Linked DNA regions of Callithrix jacchus. The protein of the gene in region 1 interacts with the protein of each later gene in a pairwise test. Links are inferred from orthologs where the notes say so. Each region holds a gene or a part of one and is shown on either strand. Other genes may lie near its edges.

Region 1 (3,808 bases):
GAAGATGAGGGGCCAGGCCTTTGTCATCTTCAAGGAGGTCAGCAGTGCCACCAACGCCCTGCGCTCCATGCAGGGCTTCCCCTTCTATGACAAGCCCATGGTGAGTATTGTGGGTATGGAGGCAGGGTGTGGGTGTGGGTGTGTGAAATGTTATAGGAGACTGGGTGGGCCTGGAGTAGAGGAGGGGATATGAGGGTTAATTGGCCAAGGTGAGGCTGGACCAAGCTCCACTGCACCTTGCCTCATTTCAATAACAAATTTTTGTTTGGCTGGGCACCGTGGCTCATGCCTGTAATTCCAGCACTTTTTTGGGGGGGGTGGGGGGATGTTGTTTTGCTATTGTTGCCCAGGCTGGAGTGCAATGGCATGATCTCGGCTCACTGCAACCTTCACTTCCCAAGTTCAAGTGATTCTCCTGCCTCAGCCTTCCAAGTAGCTGGGATTACAGGTGTGTGCCATCACACCTGGCTAATTTTTTTAATTTTTAGTTCAGAGAGGGTTTCTCCAAGTTGGTTAGTTTGGTCTTGATTACAGGTATGTGCCACCATACCTGGCTAATTTTTTTTTATTTTTAGTAGAGACAGGGTTTCTCCATGTTAGTCAGGCTGGTCTTGAACTCCCGACCTCAGGTGATCCGCCTGCACCTCAGCCTGTCAAAGTGTTACCGTTGTGAGCCACCATTGCCTGGCTTTTTTTTTTTTTGAGACAGTCTTGCTCTGTTGCCCAGGCTGGAGTGCAGTGGTGTGATCTCGGCTCACTGCAACCTCCTGGGTTCAAGTTATTCTCCTACCTCAGTCTCCTGAGTAGCTGGGAATACAGGTGTATACCACCATGCCCAGCTAATTTTTGTATTTTGGATGGAAATGGGATTTTGCCATGTTGGTCAAACTGGTCTCGACCTCCTGGCCCCTGATAAGGTCCAATTTTGAATCTTGGCAATTGGGCTCTGAATCCATGCCCTTAACCCATTCTGCTCTCTGTTTGGTAGCGTATCCAGTATGCCAAGACCGACTCAGATATCATTGCCAAGATGAAAGGCACCTTTGTGGAGCGGGATCGCAAGCGGGAGAAGAGAAAGCCCAAGAGCCAGGAGACACCAGCTGCCAAGAAGGCTGTGCAGGGCGGGGCAGCTGCCCCCGTGGTGGGAGCTGTGCAGGGGCCTGTCCCGGTAAGCCAGGGCCAGCAGACCAACCCTCCTACTGACAGGCTTTCCTTAGCCACATGGACTGGCTTTGGGACAGGGTGGGGAGAGTTCTCCCCGTGGGGCTTCAGACCCCTCCTTTCCATTCCCTTATAGAGATTATGTGTCCGTCTCTCTTTGGGGGGTGTTGAGCCCCTAGATGATACTATCTCCACTCAGAACGCCTGTGTTGAGCCCCTAGATGATACTATCTCCACTCAGAACGCCTGTTCCCGTGTGACTGTTTCTCAGTGTCTTTCTTTCTTCCTGGCTACGTCTTGGTATCGCTGTCTCCTTGGCCTTGATTTTGTTGCCTGTGTCTTTTTGTTGTTGTTGAGATGGAGTCTCACTCTGTTGCCCAGGCTGTAGTGCAGTGGCGTGATCTCAGCTCACTGCAACCGCCACCTCAGGTTTAAGCAGTTCTCCTGCCTCAGGCTCCCAAGTAGCTGGGAGTACAGGCATGTGCCACCACACCTGACTAATTTTTATATTTTTAGTAGAGATGGGGTTTAACCGTATTGGCCAGGCTGGTCTTGAACTCCTGACCTCTTGATCTGCTCGCCTTGGCCTCCCAAAGTGCTGGGATTACAGGGATGAGCCATCATGCTCATCCTGTCTTTTAAGTCATTGTGCATGTAGAAAATCCAAGTATCTACTAAGCAACTGTTAAGATTGGTTTAGAAAGGTCACTGGGTATAAGGGCAATGTGGAAAAAATCAGTTTTATTACGTATTTATTAATTATTATTATTTTGAGACGGAGTTTCGGTCCTACTGCTCAAGCTGGAGTACAGTGGCATGATTTTGGCTCACTGCAACCTCAGCCTCCTAGGTTCAAGTGATTCTCCTGCCTCAGCCTCCCTAGTAAGTAAGTGGGACAACTGGTGGGTGCCACCATGCCATGCTAATTTTTTGTTTTTTTGTTTGTTTTTTTAGTAGAGACAGGGTTTCACCATGTTTGCCAGGCTGGTCTTGAACTCCTGGCCTCAAGTGATCTGCCCACCTCAGCTTCCCGAAGTGCTGGGATTACAGGCTTGAGCCACTGCACCTGGCCCTCACACAATGAAGTTTCTAGAAGAAAACAGGAAAATGTCTTCATGACCTTGGTGAGGGCATGAAAAGTGGAAACATCCTGTTTTCTAAACAGAATACAAAGAGCACTAAGTACAAAAGAAAAGATGGACAAGGCCGGGCATGGTGGCTCACACTTGTAATCCCAGCACTTTGGGAGGCCGAGGCGGTTGGATCACGAGGTCAGGAGTTCAAGACCAGCCTGGCCGACACAGTGAAACCCCATCTCTACTAAAAATACAAAAATTAACTGGCATGATGGCAGGCACCTGTAATCCCAGCTACTTGGGAGGGTGAAGCAGGAGAATTGCTTGAACCCAGGAGGTGGGGGTTGCAGTGAGCCAAGATCACACCACTGCACTCCAGCCTGGACAACAAAGCAAGACTCTGTCTCAAAAAAAAAAAAAGAAAGAAAGAAAGAAAAGATAGACGAACCGGGCCCACTCCTTGGGTCTCTGATCCTCTGTGTCTCTCTGGCTTTTGTCTGTGGCTCTGGCTCTGACTGAGTTGTGCTCTGTTCACTGCCACTCACACTTTCTCCACGTCACCTATGGCGTCCGATTACTGTGGGCTCCTGTTGTTAACCTCTCTCTGCAGTCTTCACTGCACGCAGCTTTCTGTCCACTTTCCACTTCAGATTGTGACTCCAGCCCCTGTCTGTGCTGCCTGCCATCTGCGGTCTTCCCTCTTCCCCTGGCTGCCATGCGTTTCGTTCTGCACCTGCCCTGAGTGTCCCTTGCCATCTCTGCCCTCATTTGTATTTGTTTATATTTTTTGGGACAGATTCTTACTCTGTCGCCCAGGCTGGAGGGCAGTGGTACAGTCTGGGCTCACTGCAACTTCTCCCAGGTTCAAGCAGTTCTCCTCCCTCAGCCTCTCTAGTAGCTGGGATTACAGGTGCCTACCACCAGACCCAGCTAAAATTTGTATTTTTAGTAGGGAGCGGGTAGCACCGTGTTGCCCAGGCTGGTCTCAAACTGCTGGGATCATAGGTGTGAGCCCCCGCGCCCGGCCTACCACACGTTTCTTCCTGCCCCTTCCCTGACTGCCCCTTTCCATCTCCGCCCCTTCCCCGACTGCCCCTTTCCATCTCCGCCCCTTCCCCGACTGCCCCTTTCCATCTCCGCCCCTTCCCCGACTGCCCCTTTCCATCTCCGCCCCTTCCCCGACTGCCCCTTTCCATCTCTGCCCCTTCCCCGACTGCCCCTTTCCATCTCCGCCCCTTCCCCGACTGCCCCTTTCCATCTCCGCCCCTTCCCCGACTGCCCCTTTCCATCTCCGCCCCTTCCCCGACTGCCCCTTTCCATCTCCGCCCCTTCCCCGACTGTACCTTTCCATCTCCGCCCCTTCCCCGACTGCCCCTTTCCATCTCCGCCCCTTCCCCGACTGCCCCTTTCCATCTCTGCCCCTTCCCCGACTGCCCCTTTCCATCTCTGCCCCTTCCCCGACTGCCCCTTTCCATCTCTGCCCCTTCCCCGACTGCCCCTTTCCATCTCTGCCCCTTCCCCGACTGTACCTTTCCATCTCTGCCCCTTCCCCGACTGCCCCTTTCCATCTC
Region 2 (4,522 bases), on another chromosome or scaffold:
GCGCCACAGACCGGTTCCCCGGAGACGCGTCACCCGCGCGGCCCGGGCCCCCCACGCCCGCCGCCCCGGTGGTGCGCACGCGTGTCCGCGCAGGCTTCCCGCCTGGGGAGCGCTAGGCTCCTTTCCGCCGTGCTGCTTTCCAGCCTCCCAACAAATCACGAATACCGAAGGGAGCCACGGCGGCGACGAGAGGGGCGTCGCGCGTGGTTCCCTCGGCGACGAAGCCGGAGCCCGGCGCGCCGACCGAGGGCGCCCCGCGCAGAGTCCCGCAGAGGCGGACGCCGGGGCGCGCGCCTCAGAAAGCCTCAAACTCCTGTCCTCCGCACCCCCCGCCCCCCGCAGCCGAGACCCGCGCCGCGTCAGGCCGGACTGCCAGTGCAGGCCGACCAGCCCTCCGCACGGTGGGCGACGCGCCTGGGCCCCGGTCAAAACCGCCAGACTCAGACCCTAGGCGGCTGCCGCCCCCAGCCCCGCCCCCGCCCCCGCCCCACGCAGGCGCACTCCGGGCCACGCGCCTCCCCCACCGCGCGCTGGCGGGGCCCGGCGGGGGCGGAGCGACCCTCAGGATGGGCGTGGCCACCAGCCTCGACGCGCGCACGCGCTCTGGAGCCCCACAGCTACGTGTCGGGCCACGTGACGCCCACCCCGAAAGTCCCCCGTGAAGCAACAGGACGTTAAAAAAATTTCTCTTCTGCGGGGTGGATGAGAGGTTTTGAAAGAACTATAGTAACGAGGAGCGAGGCGGAGGCACCGTTGGCGCGTCCCGCTGGGATTCCTCTCGCCCGCCGCTGGGGCCACGACCGCGCCCGCGGCCCCGCCCGCCCCCTGCCGTGGAAAGCCCCGCGTACCCCGCACCCTGTGGCCGACAGCCTTGCAACCCACACCCACGCACCCCGGGCGCCCGGCACGGCAGCGACCCCATCCTCTGCTCCCAGGCCCGGGCCCGCCCAGCGCCGCCGACCGTCACGCTCCCGCCGCCCGCCCCGCCGGGGAGGCAGGGAGGAGGTAGCCAGGCGCCAGTGGCTGCCAGGGTGGGGGGCGGCGGGCAGCGGGCTGCAGGAGCGCGCCGGCCCGGCCCCGCTAACGGCCGCCCTGCGCGGCCCCGCCCGCCTCCCGCCCCCGGCCCTCCCCCCGCCGCCGCCCCTCCCCCCCTGCCGCCGCCGCCGCCGCCGCCGCCGCCGCTGGCAGCGCCGCCTGAACTGAGGCGAACTCCGCCGCCAAGTGAGTGAGGAGGAGGAGGAGGAGAAGGAGGAGGAGGAAGAGGAGGAGCGCAGTCAGAGCGCGGCGGCAGCGGCAGCGGCAGAGGCGCCGCGGCGGGCACCAGCCCAGAGAGACCCCCGAGCCCGCGGCACAGGCGGCGGCGGTGCTCAGCGGGCGCGACCAGCCGAGCTAGCGGCGGCCCCGGCTCCTCCTCGTCCGGCGCCAGCGGCCCGCGCCCCGCGCCCGTACTCGGCCAGCCGAGACCCGCCTCCCGCCGGCCTCGTGAGGGACGCGCCGAGTCGGGCGGCCGAGAGCGGCGGCGGCCGGGAGCGCGTCGGCCCCGGGCGGAAAGTGCCTGCGGGGGGCGGGCGAGCGCGCGGTGCCGGCCGCCCCGGGGCTCGGCGCGGGAGCCGGAGCGGGAGCCGGCGCGGAGCGGGACGCCGGGTCCCGAGCGGCCGGCGGCCGGGGCTCGCCCCCGCCCCTCCCTCCTCTCCGGCGGCGGCGGCGGCGGCGGCGGGCGGAGTGAGCTGCGGAGCCTGGAATATGGTCGGGGAAATGGAAACGAAGGAGAAGCCGAAGCCCACCCCAGATTACCTGATGCAGCTGATGAACGACAAGAAGCTCATGAGCAGCCTGCCCAACTTCTGCGGGATCTTCAACCACCTCGAGCGGCTGCTGGACGAAGGTGAGCGCCTCACGGGCCCCGGCCCCAACCCCGCCGGGGCAGCCCCTTTCCCCGCTCCGGATGGTGGGGAGGGCGGGTAGGTCACGGCCGGGCGGGACCGCGCGCCGGGGGGACGGGGAGGCCGGGAGGACGCACAAAGAAGGCGCGGGGCCCGGCTGGCGGCGGCGAGCGGGCGAGCGGGCGGGCGGGCCGGGGTGGACCCGCCGGGGCCGGACGGCCCCCGCCCGGCCGGGACCCAGTGCTGCTGGCGCCCAAGTTTGTGCCGTGCGGAGGGCTGCGGGGCGGACGCTGCGGCCCCTCTAGCTTTGGCGGTCACATTTCCGAGAGGCCGGCGGGGGCCGCGCGGGCTCGGTGGTCCTCGCCGAGCCCTCTCGAGAGCAGGCCCACGCCGCGCCGCCGGCCTGGAGGACGCGCGTGTCCCCGGCGCGGGCCCCGCTCCTCCGCTCGGTCTCCCGAACCAGCCCGGTGCGGACCCCCGCTGCCCCGAGTTCGGGAGCTCTCCCTCCGGGTGAGGACCAAAGCGGGGTTTCGTGCTTGGGGAATTGGTGCAGCTGGTAAATAGTAAGTGGAAGTCAGCGTGGGGCTCGTTCAAGAAAATTCGGTAGGAGACCGAAAGTAATGCTGGCGTAGCCGACAGGGAGGACGAAGTGACGGCGAAAAGCGCTTTTTTTCCTTTTGTTTGGGGAAGCGAGAACTGTTAGGGAGTTGAACTTCACTTTTCGGGGGTGGGGGGGGGTGGAGAGCGAAATACCGCGATGACAGATCGGAGCGCTGCCTGAGTTAGGAAGAACTTGGGCGGAGGGTTTGCTCTCGGGGACGCAGCCGCCTGAGTTTTCAGGACAGGGAATCGAGACGCTGGGAAAGGGCGAAATAAAATTGAGCCAAAGTTTCCAAATAGCTTTATGGAGCTCTGTGGGGAGCGAAGAATGACAAGAAGATTAATGTTGACCAACTCTGGAATTTCCTTAAGAAGTTCTCATAGCAGGACCTGGAGTATTAATTTTTAGTAGCTGTGGGTTTCTGCGGACACCTAGAGAAAAAAAAAAAAATGACCACACACAAAAATGTCTGTTTCGAAAATCGACTAGCCAGGATTTTTTTCTTTTTCTGCTTAGAGGCATTACTGGAGGACTGTAAAATGGAAACCAAAAACTGTAGGTTGAAGAAATAGTGGAGTTTAGGTTTTTCGCAAGAATTTCGAGATTTTAAAAGTAGTCGGGGAAAAGGAGTTTGAAGCTTGGGGAGTTGGAATGTCACCAAAGAACAAAAGGCCGGAAATGTTTACATGATAAAAAGATGGTTAAAGAAAAATCCCAGGAGTTTTGTTGTATTGAAAGTCGTAGAAACAAAAGTAGGAAATGGTTAGGTGTTAGGCTTTCTGGTCGTTGTGCTTCCGTGTGTTAAACGTACAGCACTCACCCACATTGAAATGGGCATTTTCCACTGTTGGAACAACAGATCTGCTAATTTCAGGTTGCTCCAGAGAAAACTTCAGCTGTCCCTTTAAGGGGTTCTGCTTTTCCTATTTGTGTTGGCATTTGAAAGATTGTGGAGGCAGAAAACTTTCTGGAATGTCAAAAAAAAAAAAAAAAAAAAAATTGCTGTAACTCTTAAATTGCGTATTTCCGAATGTGAGCGCTAAGGGGCGCCAGTTATTTTTTAACCATGAAAATGGTCAGAACGAAATGTGAAACATACACAGTAATCTGACCTATATTAAATTAAGTATGGATTATTTGATTTGTCATCACGTGTTCCTATAGTGTTCTCGAACATTGAAAACACAATTATTGGCACAAGTTTATGACGTTTCAAAAATAACATTTTCTCTTTCGCATATTTTGGTTAAGTTTTAATAGTGCTAGTAACAATTTCTGGTAAAAGTTTTTTTCTTGAGTGCAGTTGTTTAGCAGGAATCCTTTTTCGACGGTAAAATGAAAATAGACCTTGACAATGTTTAGGGTTAGTTAAAATTAAATTGCATTCTTGAAATGTTGAATTCAGAGACTATAGGAGATTCAAAAAAAAGTGAAAATACTTCACCTTAGTATACTATTTAAAAAGCTGCATACTTTGGAGTTTCTTTAGTTTAAAAGGGCGTCTCACTTGTGCTTTTATGTTGATCTAAACTCTCTTCATAATTTAGAGCTGGTTCCTTGTTACCAAGTTTCTAACTTTTTGCTTTAATAATTTTTAATTTTTCAAATCCAGAAATTTGAATTACGTCCCTATTTTTAACCAAGGTGTATTTCTCTCTGGTTGGAAATAGTAATCGTTTGACTTTAAAATGTAGGAGACCGAGAGGAAATCTCCTTATATTTGTTTCCCCTTCCCCTTGTAATGTGGCTTATTCCATTTCTCATCTTACTCTAGTTTTAGCCTTGTCAACTCCCAGTGTAAAGATTGCTTCTGTATGGCAGATAGTATGTTTAAAATGGGCAATATAATGACAAGGAAGTTTGACTGTTTTTTATCAGACCAGTACAAACATGCAGGAAAAAGGGCTATTCCTTAGTGTGGAATAAGCTGTTTCCTGTAATTGTTAGCCTTATTATAAACTTAATTTGACTTAGGAAAAATATTGGTTTCTGAAGTCCATCACATTTTTTTTTCTGGATGATTTGGTTGTGAAATTCG
Region 3 (3,164 bases), on another chromosome or scaffold:
AACCCGTCCATCCCTAGTCCCAGGAGGCAGACCTAGCAGTAGGCTGTGAAACCGAGTCTAGAGGGAACAAGACGCTCACCTGGGCCCCAGAACAATAGAAGGGGAGGTGGGGGCCTCCCCTGGGACCGGGTCCCGATCCGGATTAGATCCGCAGGGCAGGCTTAGCCCTGTTGGTCCCGCGAAGCCTGGGCCACTGGTGCGGTGACGGTGGTGGGGCGGGCTTCGGAATCCGCCAGGAGGGAAGCGCGCCCGTGGGGCTGGAGAGGAAGTAAACCCAAGCGTCCGCCTCGGGGACACCCCCGCGCTTGGGGCTCTTTGTCCAGTGACGCTGCCAGCGCCCAGAGCACCAGGGGCCGAAGGGGCCCACACAGCAGCGGCGGGACCCCCAGAAACCTATTACGACCGCCCCCCAGGAGACCCACCACCAGGCCCCGACTGTGCCGAGCTCCCTGCTCGCCCAGCCCCGCGAGTAGCGAACGCAACAATGTTCCCCTGGGGCCACGACAGAGCCAGCGTGCCGAGATACCCAATCCCCGCGCGGGCGCCAACGACTCTCGCGCCAGTAGGCCCTTGACTTGGTTCAAGACGGGGGACTGGGGACTCCCAGGACGAGAGCAGAGTGAACGAGGACAAGGTGATGCTCCACGCGTTTCTACTTCAAGTCTGGTCCGGTTCTGCCCGGTCTGGCCCAGCCGAGCAGCAACCCCAACACTACCACAGCTTGCCCTTCCGCTTGCTCTGGCTGCCCGCAGACTTGGAGCTATTTTAAGGCGAAACCACCTGGCCACGCCTCCTGGAGCACCCGATAAGCCAATCCACGCTAGGCCACGCCCCTCTAGCGCGCAACTGAGAGGCCAACGGTCGCGCGGGTGACGGTTAGGGCGGGACTTGCTTCGGTTGTGAGCCGGAGAAACTTGAGCTGGTTGCCCCGCCCACGGTGCCTGAAGCCCCAAAGGCTAGGATTAGGGGCTCGAAGTCTGGCATGGACCGCCTGGCCAGGTGTTCGGTTCACGATTAGGTGGGTGGCTGCCCCGCCTCGGGAGCGCGGCTTAATAGTTGAGAGCCGGGGGTCCAGGCCGCAACTGCGGCCCACGCAACGCCGAGGGCGGCCACACTACCAGGTGTTCCACTCCCCTGGGACTGTGGGCAAGGACCCGGGGCGGGGCGAGGGGCAGGTGATGACATCGGAGCTGCGCCGGAGGCCGGGGGACTTGTCCTCCTCCCAGGACAGATGATATTCGCCGGCTGGGCCGGCCGAGCTGTGCCGTGCACTCCGGGACGCAGGGGGCGCTGCACCCGCGCTGGGTCAGCCTCCGCAGGGCCCCGCCAACCCGGTAACAACCGGCGTCAGTGACGACTTCGCCGCGCGTCGATCAGCCATGGCCACCGCTCTTGCGCTACGCAGCTTGTACCGAGCGAGACCCTCGCTGCGCTGTCTGCCTGTTGAATTTTCCTGGTGAGCTGGACCCCTCACTGTTGACCATCCCACCCCCTAGGGCCGGCGACTGCCACCCCGCACCTTCTGGCTTCTCGGGCGGCCCGTCCCGGCCCTGTGCCCCTGACCCGTTCCCTCCGCAGGGCCCCGCGACGGGGGCATCGGCTCTCGCCAGCAGATGACGAACTGTATCAGCGGACGCACATCTCTTTGCTGCAACGCGAAGGCTTTCAGACCATGTACATCGACAGTTACAACAGCCGCGGCTTCATGATAAACGGAAACCGCGTGCTCGGGCCCTGCGCTCTGCTCCCGCATTCGTTGCTGCAATGGAACGTGAGTCCTGACCCGCTGTGAGGAAACTGAGGTCCAGAGTCACAGGTCCTCAGCCTGCTTGTGTCCCTGTAGACGTGGCTTTCCTCTATCTCCTGTAGTGGATGGAGGTGGGGAGAAGCTGCGTAGATTTGTCGTACTGAATAAATCATCTCCCTGCACAGGTGGGATCCCACCAGGACATCACCGAAGAGAGCTTTTCCCTCTTCTGGATGCTGGAGCCCCGGATAGGTACTGGGGACAGGGGAGGCAGGGCAGAGGTGCTTTGAGCCCTAAAAGGCAACCCCCACTCCAACCTCTCAACAGAATTGTAGACTAGTCTCATCCTCACTTCCCTAGAGATTGTTGTGGTGGGGACTGGAGACCGGACTGAGAGGCTGCAGTCCCGGGTGCTTCGAGCCATGAGGCAGCGGGGCATTGCTGTGGAAGTGCAGGACACGGTGAGTCCTATAACTGGGGCCTGCTGTGGGGAGTACAGGCCTGGCACTAGACAGGCTGATTCTGGCCTTTTCTTTGCAGCCCAATGCCTGTGCCACCTTCAACTTCTTGTGTAATGAAGGCCGAGTAACCGGAGCTGCTCTCATCCCTCCACCAGGAGGGACTTCACTCACATCTTTGGGCCAAGCTACTCAGTGAACCACCAGGAACTGACCTGCTGACTACACTCTGCCAGTTCCCAGTGCTTTCACCCTTATCTCCCCTTTGGCATTTATCTTGCTTACCAACATAATAATTTATACACTTCTCCCATTTTGTATCAGGTGTGTTGCTGGCCAGGTGCTGCTGGCTCACTGAGCTCTTGGAGAAAAATGTGAAGAAACCAAGGGGTCACTTTTTCATCTAGATTACTTAGGATAGTATGTTTACCTGTTCTAGACCTTGCTCACATGCAGATTTCAGAGGACCTCAATGCCTTTTCTCACAAAATCACTGATTTTTTTTTTTCTCTGAGACAGAGTCTCGCTCTGTCACCCAGGCTGGAGTGCAGTGGTATGATCTTGTCCCACTGCAACCTCCACCTCCTAGATTCAAGTGATTGTCCTGCCTCAGCCTCCTGTGTAGCTGGGATTACAGGCCCCCACCACTGCACCTAATTTTTTTTTTTTTTGACATGCTGTGGGGTGATTTCTGCTCACTGCAACCTCTGCCTCCCGCGTTCAGGTGATTCCCCTGCCTCAGCCTCCCAAGTAGCTGGACTAAAGGTGCATGTCACCACGCCCAGCTAATTTTTGTATTATTAGGGATAGGGTTTTAATATGTTGCCACCTGCCTCAGCCTCCCAAAGTGATTACAGGCAAGAGCCACCACACCTGGCCGAGAGCTATTTAGGTTAGGGAATATGTATATGTCTTGACCTGGTCCTATGTGGCCAAGTATGACTTAGTAGGATGCCCGG

What was found.
Region 2: the proteins of SNRPA (region 1) and QKI interact in binary tests that used the Homo sapiens proteins (3 or more experiments, as listed by UniProt). The link is inferred for Callithrix jacchus from reciprocal best matches to the Homo sapiens genes SNRPA and QKI.
Region 3: the proteins of SNRPA (region 1) and NDUFAF3 interact in binary tests that used the Homo sapiens proteins (3 or more experiments, as listed by UniProt). The two-hybrid records come from large-scale screens. The link is inferred for Callithrix jacchus from reciprocal best matches to the Homo sapiens genes SNRPA and NDUFAF3.

The regions. Positions count from the first base shown.
Region 1 is NC_133523.1:36,300,032-36,303,839, forward strand, and holds part of SNRPA (U1 small nuclear ribonucleoprotein A), read left to right. Parts: coding exon 1-100; intron 101-988; coding exon 989-1,168; intron 1,169-3,808. UniProt on the Homo sapiens protein: Component of the spliceosomal U1 snRNP, which is essential for recognition of the pre-mRNA 5' splice-site and the subsequent assembly of the spliceosome. U1 snRNP is the first snRNP to interact with pre-mRNA.
Region 2 is NC_133505.1:169,958,020-169,962,541, forward strand, and holds the start of QKI (KH domain-containing RNA-binding protein QKI), read left to right. Parts: upstream 1-1,576; 5' UTR 1,577-1,743; coding exon 1,744-1,885; intron 1,886-2,048; exon of another isoform or gene 2,049-2,393; intron 2,394-4,522. UniProt on the Homo sapiens protein: RNA reader protein, which recognizes and binds specific RNAs, thereby regulating RNA metabolic processes, such as pre-mRNA splicing, circular RNA (circRNA) formation, mRNA export, mRNA stability and/or translation.
Region 3 is NC_133516.1:31,650,860-31,654,023, forward strand, and holds NDUFAF3 (NADH dehydrogenase [ubiquinone] 1 alpha subcomplex assembly factor 3), read left to right. Parts: upstream 1-1,355; 5' UTR 1,356-1,379; coding exon 1,380-1,456; intron 1,457-1,578; coding exon 1,579-1,771; intron 1,772-1,932; coding exon 1,933-1,999; intron 2,000-2,107; coding exon 2,108-2,208; intron 2,209-2,287; coding exon 2,288-2,404; 3' UTR 2,405-2,518; downstream 2,519-3,164. UniProt on the Homo sapiens protein: Essential factor for the assembly of mitochondrial NADH:ubiquinone oxidoreductase complex (complex I).